3 linked regions of the Schizosaccharomyces pombe genome follow. Changing the gene in region 1 together with any one later gene gives a genetic interaction. Each region holds a gene or a part of one and is shown on either strand. Other genes may lie near its edges.

Region 1 (4,099 bases):
CTGATACGCTACAGATCATTACATAAGAGGCTGATGTAGTGGTAGTAGCATTATGCAAATTTCGTTATTTTACTATATCGTGATTGCCCCAAACCATAATTCGTCATTCCTAGTTTACGAATTTACGAGTTCCATTAAAGTGGTATTAACGTGTTTTTAAAAGTACTTCACTAATTATCGAAAGCTGTTCATGGAAAATAGACTGCCAATTTGTTTTATTCAAACTCAGAATATCAGGGTTTCACTAATGCTGCTTGACTTGAAACATAGCTAATTGAAAAAGGAAAATTGCTCTTATTACCCTTTTTAATCGCCGGCTTTGCTTAAAAACAAACGGTTTTGCATTGCTATGAAAACCCTCGACATTCATTTGATAATTGCCAGGTACAAATTTACGTATCCTTACTGAATAATCGTAATATGAACAAATAAATGTTGTACCGTAGATAATATTTCTTAATTTTGAAATATATTAACTTTTCTTATTTCATTATGTGTATCCAAGAGCCAAGTTATATTTCTCTTATTTTAAACAGCTTGATAAATACAGGTTTTAAACGATTCAAATGATATCTGTTTGTCTTTTAAAATAGTGGTATGACATCCCATAAGTGTAAAAAAAATTTTTTTTCTTTCTGCCTTAATTTTTTCGGAATTGTGCATTTAATCCAAAACCAAACAAATATCTGAGTTTGCCAATTATATAGTCAGTAATACACCACTATAAACTATTCAACTAAAATACCCAAAAAAAAAGGACAACTAGTAATGAAAAAACAATGATAATAATAAATGAAAGATATATAATTGACTATTTTAAATCATGCATAATAAACTAATTTAACGTCTGAAAAAACAACCATTGATTTTTTAAAAGTTTCAAAAATTGTGCTTCACCCAATTTTTTACAATTAACCAAAAAAAAATATAAATAAATAAGTAAATACACGTCGAAGTGATAAATGCCAAAAAAATGATTCCATCGACAACCAACTCCGTCGATATTCACACCCATTATAATATATGCTCCTTACTTCTTTGGTATTAAACAGAAATTTTATAAATTAGACCGTTTTCCTCGAAATCCCAATAAAGAATGCAATGGTACAATAAATAAGGAAGCTTGAAACAAGTAAAGATCAGATGATAACAAAATTAATATAAGTAAACAAGAAATTAGGTCAAAGAACGACTAACAGAATATAACAATTTTAGAACGATTAGCAAAAATAGTATGAAATTTCAAGGGAATAAAAAGAACTTCACTGGATATCGTGTTTTCCATTTAACAATTTCGAAAGAGTCGTATACGTGAATTTGGTGATTCTATTCAAAGGAGAAAGTGATGTTCTCAAAAAAAAAGAGCGATTCCATAATCAACGACCATAGTATGTAGGACGAAATCGGAACCAAATTTAAATAAAAATCAACGCTTTTCATCTGCGGCCACGTCCACCACGTCCACCCATGCGTCCACCACCGCGGCCGCCGAAACCACCGTGAGGACCATGAAGTGGGCCATGATGGCCACCACCGATTCTTGGACCAAACAAAGGGCCTCTGGGAGGAGGAGGGGCGTAGTAAGCACGGTGACCACGAAGAACACTGCCGGCTAAAGCTCCAACCATGAAACCTCCTAATCCAGCCGTCATAGACCGTGAGCCGTCAGAAGAGCGAGGCACGTCCTTTTGATAGACGACGGTAGTGGTACCGGGAGGAGGAGGAATATGCAAGCCTGGAATAGGAGGCTCCCACTGTGGTTGAGCACCTTCAAACGTTTCATTAATGTAAAAGTAAGCTTGATAAGTTGGATCCCATTGGGCGACCCAACCAGCTGGCAAGCCCTTGTAAGTTTGATAAACAGACATCTTTCGATAAAGTAATTAATGAGAAACTGTAACTTAGAAAAAAAGAAGTAGTGAGAAGTAGAGTATGTCTGTTAAGAATTATTAATAGACAGGCACAAATGTCAAAAGAAAAAAAGAATTAGCAGCGAAGTAGAAACGGTATGTATAACAAGAAAGAATTTATGATCTCGTTATAGTAAGAATGAAGAAAAGATTAGAATAACGAATGCTTTGAAAATGAAGCAAGTAAAAAAAATGATTGATTGAAATTAGATTGACGAAAAGGTGAGGAAAACTCGCAAATAAATAAAGCTTTGCATTAGGACATAGCCGACGGACAATACGTCACTTTTGTGGGGAAATGATGAGTTATTGCGTAGTTGTAGTGTGGAAGCGAGTGCGATTTGAACTCTTTTTCTTCCATCGGAATAGAAAACATATGAGCGGGGCCGAAAGCTGCCGCAATCTATTTTGCGATTGTGTACCCGATATCCTAACAGCAAAGCAGTGAATTGGAAGATGAATTTACTACAATATCTGTAGTGTCTTTTAGTTACATTCAGAAAAGAAATTGATACGAAAATGTGCACGCTAAAAGCTCAAACCCATGTATACTTATGATCTTCCAATTGTACAAATTATTGCTATTTTCGCTAGTCTATAGATCGATCAGCCATTGACGTCAGCGCTCGTTTAGTATTTGAAAACAAACGCCAAGTTAGGTGTTTGTTTATTAATGTGTTTCTTTGGGTATATGAGTGTATGAAAATTCGACTCAAGCTCCTGTTAACACTTGATCTTTCTTTTGAATCGCGAATAGCATTGACTCCGATATCTCGGTTCAATTTTTTTGAGTAAATAGTAAACGTACGTTTCATAAAACTAACTTTAACAAAAAATTATCTACTTAGTGAATTAGTTCTCACTTGGATAAATACTTGTTTTTGTCAAGCTTTTAGCATGGTCAATTGATATCAAAAGGAACTCACTCCAAAAAAAATCGACCCCACTTGGGTCCATGAACCTCTCTTGTCTTGCATCTCTCAAGGACTGGATGGATGTGGGGGTTCGGGGAATCAAGAGTTTTCAATGGAGTAAGTGCAATCAAATAAATCAAAGCGACAAAGGATTAGAGCGAGGAGACGAGAAAAGATGGAAATACAATGAGTAAATTCGTATTAAAATTGATATCGTTTTAACGAAGGAAAAGAGAAAGTTACTCTACGTAGGTTTGCAAAAAAAAAATATATAAATGTAGATGTAGATGTAAAATTAATGTTAATGAGAAATTTGAAATTAAGGAAGCATAAATAGTATGGAGACATTATAGTTAATATGGACGATGAGTTAAAAGGAATAATTGGTTTAAGTGAAGCTAAAGAAAAATAAAAATAAAAAAATAAAAAGATGTCATTTAATATTAAATTTAAAAAAGACAACACACACATAAGAACTATTCAATAAAATAAAATAAACACAGTACAATAAAATAAAATAAATAACGATCTAACGAAACAGGAAAAAAAAAAAAAAATAATATATTACAAACAAAAAACAATCTCAAAAAGCTATCTTATAATTTGAGTATCCTAACCATAATATTTATTAACTCATATGTAAGTTTATCTTGGTAGAAGCTTTACCTTTAAGAATTGACTTCATTCCTACTCGCATCGCATTTGTTGCTTCTATTTTAGAGATAAAAGCTCTTTTAATTGAACTTATGCTTTTACCAACACGGCACGTGAATCAAGTTAGAATAATAGTCTAAATGTCCACAAAGGGTGGTTTCTCGTTCTATGAATAAATATAGTAGTAGCTTAGTGAAAATTCCACGGGACATTAGTTTATATAAGAATAAAAGTGAATGTATGAAAATTACATGTGAAGAATAAATTTGTGGTAAAATACACGTCTTTTAAAATATAGCTAATAGCACACATATTTTGAAGCATGCTTTATATCCTGCTCTTTCAATGCAAGGTTATTATCCCATTCTGAAGCCACATACCATCAACCCACGAAAAATCTCGTTAAATAAACAACACCAAATTTCCTTATTGCTAATAGGAAGGGCGGGATGAAAACAATCAACCTCAAAAATTTCTCCCTCTCTTTAATTACCTGGATGACCAGTCATTATAGAACGAATTTATTTTCTCCACTTCTTTCTATATCTTAAGGTTCATTTCTCCTCCTACTAACTACTCCATCCACCCACCCACCTTTAGCACTTCCCAATCATCTACGTC
Region 2 (4,342 bases), on another chromosome or scaffold:
CTCTACCAAAGCCATGAACAACTTTCCCTTCGAAGCGAATAGGATAAGGGCTTTGCACCTTTTCAGGACCAACAATTTCAGGCCTCTTTTCTTCTAAATTAACTGTCATAGAGTAAATCAAAGGTTGCTAGCGCAATTGGAAAAATACTAGTGGAAGTAGGTAGTTAGTAAGCGTAGCTCAGCCTAATGAAGAGAGTCATGTTGGACAAATATTTCCATTACGCTTATTTTAAATTAGTTTAGTTGATATCTATGAATAACAAAAAAATAATAAAACAATTGGTTCATCAACCATTGACCATCAATGGTTAAATCTCAAGGTTGGTAATAACCACAAATGCTCAACGGTTGTTTAACTCTATTATGAATTCGTAAGTTTAATAAAAAACTTGCGTTTGATATTCAAGAGGAATTAAAGATTTAACCTTAATATAATAGCGCTTGGTATTCAAGCAGTTTTACAGCGCTGTTCTGGGCACAAAATAAAATAGTTATTAATTAAATTTTTTGAGAAACAAGTAGACAATTGCATAATTATTAGATTGACAAAAGGCCTTGGGTGGCATCCATAAATTCCGTCCCCAAAGACTGCCAAGTGAAAGTGAAATTGCAATTCATAAAAGCTTTCCATTTGTGAAAATATATAGGACTATAAATATCCATGTTAAGAAACTAAACACTATCCCTATAGCTAACAGCCATTTTTTTTTATACATCATATTTCAAAAAAAGCGGCATACGAACCTGACGTTTAAGGAAGTCGAAAAAGAGGGAAAATTTTGCTTGCTGTAATAATAGAAGAAAGCAAGATTTTTTGGAATATAATAGTTGTAAACTACTTAAGCAGTTTCTGCGGCCACTTTTAACGTTGAAGCACCGCTAACAATCGGCCCTTGCTGTAGTCTTTTAAGAATGTCTTCCCGATATCTACCAAAAGGTAGCTTGGGTCCGCCATGAGGAGATTCCATCATGGTCTTTAACACTTGAAACCGCAGTAAGCATGTTTCATGGTCACCTTCTGCTTCAAGTAAATGACGGATAGCGAATCCTTCAGAAGCAATTTGGATAGGCGAATTTTGAGCAATGTGTAGCAAGCATTGGTATGCTAGTTGCCTAGAACGAGGAATCGGAGAAGAAGCAGTGTTTACTAAAGTGCTCAAGGTGTTGGGAGGTAATATTCTCCAAAGCTGCATCCACAAATTATGATCAGGCTGTAAAAGAGCATGAGCAAAAGAAGACATACCCGGTTCGTCCATCAAAAATCGTCTTGTCAACCATCTTGGCACATAACGATTAGCTTCGTCCTCAATGCCATATTTCTTGATAAGTGCTTGAGTTACCACTGTGTTAGACAAAAAAACTCCGTAAAGAAGAATAGATGTAGCATCGTTCGTCTTCATTCTCTCGCGAACAGCGTCAAATAGTTGATGCTTCTCATCCAACGAGTTAATAGCGTCTGGATGCAATTCGCAGAGCCTGGGAAGGAACTTTAATCCAATATGATCCGTATAAGAATCCGCTGAACCTTTGTAGTCTTGAGCGATCGTGTCCAAATACTTTGTTTTTTCAGAACTTATATACTCGTATGTAAAAGGAGCCTCTAACATTATCCCAAGGACATCCACGAAATTAATTTGAAGCAATATGTCTTTATTGTCACCATTAATTACAAGCTTGTCGTCCTTAATCAGTTCTTCCAAATATTCTGGAGACTTCGTAGACAGTTTTGCGAACAGTGTCAACCAGCGTACCCTCAGCGTAGAGTTCATAATTTCATAGTCAACAAATGTAAAACGCTTTATAATTAAATTAAAGTAGTATGGAAAATCTGCCATATCGAATAGCAAAACAGTAGCTTCTTCGGAAACTGCTATGCTTCGAGAGTTGATGCATGCCATAATCGCCTCAAACAGTGGTTCACCAATCTCCTTCTTTTCCCAATTTGCACGGCGTATAAGGTGCAGACAAAAGATTTCGACATCTGTAGAAGGATGTTCAAGTCCAGTAACCAAGTAAGATTCAATTCCAAACTTTTTCAAATCGGCCCAACTCATTGGCTCAAGCAGCTTACCCAAAGCCTTCATAATCGGCTCGGTAGGTATTGGAAGCTCAAAACAACTAAGTATGGTATCCAAGAGTCCTAAGCATGATGGCCTTGTAGCAGGCGTTATACTTTCACGGAACGCATCTATGGCATCAGGGATTTCACGAACGATAACCGACGGGTTTGAAGGGAGATCTTTCAATAACTGTAATAGTCTTCTACCGGGTCCTGGTAAGCCTGGTATGAGTTCTATACTATCCATTTGGCTTGTTTTTAACAGATCCCGTATATTGGCGATGGATCGGCTGAAATCAGGCAAGAGGCAATTTTATCTCGTTTAAGTAAGCTTAATTTTAACCGAGCAACCGAATATCAAGGAAATACACATACAAAGAAAAGGGTATCAAACACCTTTGCATTCTTGGTTTACGACTATAACTGTAGGGGTGGAAAACAAAGAAACACTTAATCAAAATTACGCATTAATCTACTTCACGAACTAACCATTTTTTTTAAATGAGTGCCTACTATTTTGTTTGAGAGCCTATGGCTTGTGCAAGAAAAAAAAACTCATTTAACATAATGGGTATTTTTGCAAAAAAGCTAGTTAATATTATGAGAAGGGGAATGATTTTCGTAAAAAGTAAGTTGAGAGAAGATAAAAGAGAAGGATGGATAAAGAGCATGAAAAAGGATAAAGAGCAACAACTGATGATCCAATATTAACGGACCAACAAGTAGAGTGGTAAAAAATTATACTTTCTTAGCTGAAATCATTAATTCAGGGCGAACCCATTCATCGAATTGCTCGGGGGTACCGAAACCCAAAGTAACAAACTCGTGCTTGAGAGTGCTCTTATTTTTAAGAGCAGTCTTGGCAATCTTGGCACAGTTATCATAACCGATGTGAGGATTTAACGCAGTAACAAGCATCAAGGAATCACGAAGATGACGGGCAATACCTTCGTAATTTGGCTCAATGCCGACAACGCAATGATCAGTAAAAGACTCGCAAGCATCCCCTAAAAGACGAATACTGCTTAGAATGTTCTTTGCTAAAAGAGGTTTAAAAACATTGAGTTCACAGTGTCCGGAGGCACCAGCGACAGTAATAGTGGCATGATTGCCCATTACTTGAGCACAAACCATTGTTAAGGCTTCACATTGGGTGGGGTTTACTTTGCCTGGCATGATTGAACTTCCAGGTTCATTAGCAGGAAGGATCAATTCGCCTAAACCACAACGAGGGCCAGAACCAAGTTGACGAATATCGTTAGCAATTTTCATAAGAGAACAAGCAATAACATTTAAAGCACCACTCATCTCCACAATCGCATCATGGGCTGCAAGAGCCTCAAACTTGTTAGGGGCGGTCTTAAACTCAATATTTGTAAGCTTTGAAACCTTCTCAGCAACCTTCACGTCAAATCCTTCAAAAGTATTTAGTCCAGTACCCACGGCAGTACCACCTTGAGCGAGAAGACAAAGACGAGGAAGAGCGTTGTTTATGCGCTCAATGCCATAACCAACCTGAGTAACATAGCCGGAAAATTCTTGACCTAAAGAAAGAGGAGTGGCATCTTGCATGTGGGTTCGACCGATTTTGATAATGTTCTTAAACTCCTCTTCCTTACCCTTCAAGGCCCGGTGGAGGTGCTTCATGGCAGGAAGTAAATGAGTGTGAATTTGCAAAACAGAGGCAATATGCATAACAGTGGGGAAAGTGTCGTTAGAAGATTGAGACATGTTAACGTGATCGTTTGGATGAACGGGCTTTTTCGAACCTAACGTACCACCAAGGATTTCTATGGCACGATTAGCGATTACCTCGTTACTGTTCATATTGGATTGGGTGCCCGAGCCAGTTTGGAAAACAACCAAGGGGAAGTTATCATCCAAACGACCATCAATGACTTCTTGGGCAGCCTGTTCAATGGCATCTGCAAGTTTGGGATCCAAACCGAATTCACGATTAACAGAAGCAGCCGCACGCTTTAAAACTCCAAATGCGCGAACTAAGGGAAGAGGAAGTCGCTCTTTTTCACCACCAATTCGAAAGTTTTGAAGAGAACGCTGAGTTTGAGCACCCCAATACTTTTCTGCAGGGACTTGTATGGGACCAAAGGTGTCAGATTCCTGTCGGAACTCGCCATGCTTACCGCCTTTGGGAATGAGATGATAAGTCGGAGTAGTGGAATTCATTCTATGAGTTTTTAGAGGTAACTAAAAAATAAAAAGTTAGTGTCATACGCAAATTGCATAAATCAATAGAGTAAAGCGAAATAGATGTGACTCAAC
Region 3 (3,693 bases), 1.3 Mb from region 1:
TGTGTATCTGTGAAATGGCTTTGTTATAAATAAACAAGCAATTTAGTAACAGAGATGTAGATATTTTGGATATCTTTTTTATTTTGATTAAATCGTGAATATGCGATTCATGGCATATACTCAGAGTATGAGAAACGGCAGTATTGGTGTGCAACACAAAACTGTCTTGAAAGTTTTTTTGTCTCTTTCATTTTGTTCAATTTCTTTAACAATTACACTTAACATTTGACGGACAATACTTGTGTATTGGGTCGATGACTGTCTTCATTGCTTGGTGTATCCGGCGGTAAACAAAATGGCAAACATTTCTACTTTGCCCACAAATATATAGCTTCATGTGGTTGATAATGATTATTTCAGCACTGAAAATAAGAGGTTGATATACAATGAATGTGTTATTCATAAACTACACACGGTTATTAATGCCTTCTACTCCAAATGATTGCATCGATGGTTTCTGGACTGACTTAACATACAAAAATTTATTGTCATCAATGTTATCATGTGTAGCAATTGATTGGGATCTCTGCAATTTCAAATTCAGAAGAGAGATCAGTATTGTTGATGGGTTTTTTGGAAACATGCCAGTTTCTGAATTCTTCTTCTTGGATGTCAGGAATATGCAAAAGAATTTGAGCTGCCGTTATATGTAAACAATGTTGCACGACAAAACTGAACCACGGCAGCCCACTCAACGCTTGCATCAGCGATCGTGCCTTGTCGGACCATTGCTTGCAAAACCTTGAACACAATCCGATATAGTGTATTGATTTTAAGAATAAATTTAACTGCTCAACCGACATTCCATGAGCTTTGAACAATTGATTAATTGTGGAAATAGGAAATGAAAACGTTTCAATGTACAAACAGGGGGCAGATAGGACTTTTATCATATAAAGAAACTGATCTATGTTTTGAGGGCATGGGTAATTGGATCTGTACAGTTCCTCTGGGACCAATAGAGAGTGTTCTCCCTTAGTTATTTTATTTTCTAATTCGTCCTCCGAGCTTTCTATTCCGATTTGGGCGCTGGGCGAGTGATTTTCGGTATCATCCTTTGCATAAGTATTTGCCATGTAAAGCATAGACCGCATTGCTGAAAGATTCTCCTTTTTCAGTTCGCATTGCTGTCCACACAATTGGCAATTGTCGTGCACTTTCTTCCACCAGATCTTGCCACGAATTATATTAGGGTATTGTTTTCGCAATCCTACAGGTAATTGCTGAGAAGAAGCAACTCTAAGGTGTCTTAACTGCCATGTTTCTGCACATTCTCTGTAAATGTAATACACTTCCTTTAATCTATGAAGAGATTTTTGGATGTATGTATTGTTTGGGTCCAGTTCAAGTGAATGCTCCCAATCACGATTGGCTAAGTGAGGATGTCCAAGTCGCAAATAAGCTAGTCCTCTCCTCCATATCACTTTTTTATCATACGGATTGATGACTAGAGCATATGTACAGTCATGAACTACTTTAGTATAGCTGCATGCAAAATAAGTTAGTTAGCATAAAAGCAAAACTGCTGCAAAGGTTCAGACGATGTTTTTTTTTCTTTCGAGAAACCCCGTTAATAATCCAAAGGATTCTCTGAACCTTTGTGACATAGGTAATTTGTTAAATTTATTATGTTACATACGATTTTTTGCGCAAATGAGTTAATGAGCTATCGGCGTAAACCGGTGTAATGGTGTTTTCATTTCCAATTGCATTAAGGAATTCATCAAAAACATCTATTTCTCGTGTGTTCTGTTTATTGAGGGTTAGAAACGTTACAAACATCTTCTGGTAATCAAAGTAGAGCATACCTCTAGTGCAACATAATTGCTTTTTTCCACCAAGTTTACGTTCTCCTTTTCTTCCATTGCGATTTTGAATGCAGATGGTTCAAATCAGATGGAATGTCAATCTATTTGTTTATGTGGTAGAACAATATTGGAATGTATGTGTGAAGGCATATCATAACCATGTGCACTTTTGTAAACAAACAATAACTAAAATTATATTTTAAGCGATAAAAAATACGCAAATAAAATTAATTTAATATTTAGATATTCATACTTTATTACATTTCTGTAAAAATCAGGTTTTACAACCAAGAGCATTACTAATTCTATTTCATGTGGTAAACAAAGCAAAAAGCACGATTTAAAAGTGCAGTTTTTGAGACAGAGAGACGTTATTAGTTACATCGTACTTAATTACAATAAATATAAAAAATAAAATTAAAAAATTGACTTATTCCAACAATATAGAAACTTCATCGTGAAAAAAAGTAAGTCTTTGAAACAAAATATTCATTATTGGAAAAAAATATGTTTTTATAAAGAATAATATAAAATAATCCAAACCCCCCAAAAGCAAACAAAATCCTTATGCAACACGGTCAACGTCTCCAGTTGAAAACCAGAAATTTGAAAATAAAATTATCCCAAGGAAAAAAATCTGAGAAAAAAGATTGATAATTAGTTCTTAAAAAGATCTCGGAGTTTATATATTAAATGGTGAACTTAAATTTACTTTTTCTTCAAAAATTTCGAAAAGTTACTGTTCTTGGCACGCTTTCCTTTCTTTAAATGTTTCTTTGCCCATTTGTTGCGATTGTTGTCACGAGGACCAGAAGTAGAGACTTTAGGCTGATCAACTTCCATACCAACGTTATCGGATACTTCTGAACTGCTGACTTCTTTCAAGGAATTATCGGCGATTCCCTCTTCTTTGCTAGAGGATGACTTTGTAAGGTCATTGACCTGGTCACGTAAGTGCGCAGACAAACGCTTAGTCCGCTCATCAATTACGGGTTGAAAAACGTTTTCTCTAAGCTATTACTTTGTTAGATAATCGATAAAGAGGTATGAGAAGGGCAATTGTTTTAAAGACGGTTCCATTGTACATAAACCGTTTCCGAAACCAAAAAAAAAGACATTCAATCCCTTCATTTGTCTATACTATACAACATACCACTTTTTTATTGCGACGAATGCTTTTTGAACGTGCTGATTTTGCCATTGCTGATGTGTGAAAAAGTTGAATGCAAAGGTTCATCCATTTTTACAAAACTTATATCATTTAAAATAGCACGCTGGTATTCGTTATAAGCTATACCGTTTGTAGGGTACGCAGGGAAAGCACTATTTAGCAGAATGTATCATGAAGTTTTAGTGAATAAAGTAATTCATATTAAAATACGTACTACATATGTCTGGGCGGTTCACCGTCTCTTCTACCCTTGAACCACAATAAGTTAATTGAAAGAAATAATTTGGGCAATGTAATATACAAGAAAGTATGTCGCGTAAAGTTGTATTATGTATTTTTTCGTATCGTTATATAAATATACCTATTTATTTTTTTAACGATCAGTTGGATTAAAAATACGTTATGCTTCCATTGTGATACACTATTTTACATTATGGAAGTTTTAAGAATGCATTGAACTTCATTGTCCTTCAGTCTCATCCAGCAGCCTGCTTCCCTCTTTGAACAACTAATAATTTTTTTGGGCACTTCCAATTGAAAGGGTATTTAGAGCTTTGGACGTTGAATGCGAAACTTGTAAATTAAATCACTTCTTCTTTCTCTTCCGTTAATTATTTTCAATGGGTAAAGCAAAAACTACACGCAAATTTGCTCAGGTAAAGCGAGTCATAAACCTTAAGGATCAACGATTGCAAAAGAAAGATCAGAAAAAAG

The links. Genes that interact genetically often act in the same process or in processes that back each other up.
Region 2: mutations in wwm3 (region 1) and SPOM_SPCC18.17C together harm fitness more than expected from each alone (negative genetic interaction), as found in Schizosaccharomyces pombe (one large-scale study listed by BioGRID).
Region 3: mutations in wwm3 (region 1) and mug93 together harm fitness more than expected from each alone (negative genetic interaction), as found in Schizosaccharomyces pombe (one large-scale study listed by BioGRID).

What each region holds. Positions count from the first base shown.
Region 1 is NC_003423.3:200,305-204,403, reverse strand, and holds wwm3 (protein wwm3), read right to left. Parts: upstream 2,124-4,099; 5' UTR 1,869-2,123; coding exon 1,437-1,868; 3' UTR 781-1,436; downstream 1-780.
Region 2 is NC_003421.2:1,985,834-1,990,175, forward strand, and holds SPOM_SPCC18.17C (proteasome non-ATPase regulatory subunit), read right to left. Parts: upstream 2,343-4,342; 5' UTR 2,307-2,342; coding exon 840-2,306; 3' UTR 501-839; downstream 1-500. Other genes in the region: riboflavin kinase Fmn1, read right to left, coding at 1-109; fum1 (fumarate hydratase), read right to left, coding at 2,798-4,267.
Region 3 is NC_003423.3:1,459,891-1,463,583, reverse strand, and holds mug93 (TPR repeat-containing protein), read right to left. Parts: upstream 1,866-3,693; coding exon 1,809-1,865; exon of another isoform or gene 1,750-1,808; coding exon 1,640-1,749; exon of another isoform or gene 1,486-1,639; coding exon 501-1,485; downstream 1-500. Other genes in the region: ribosome biogenesis protein Llp1, read right to left, coding at 2,517-2,822, 2,962-3,009; rRNA endonuclease Utp24, read left to right, coding at 3,600-3,693. UniProt on the Schizosaccharomyces pombe protein: Has a role in meiosis.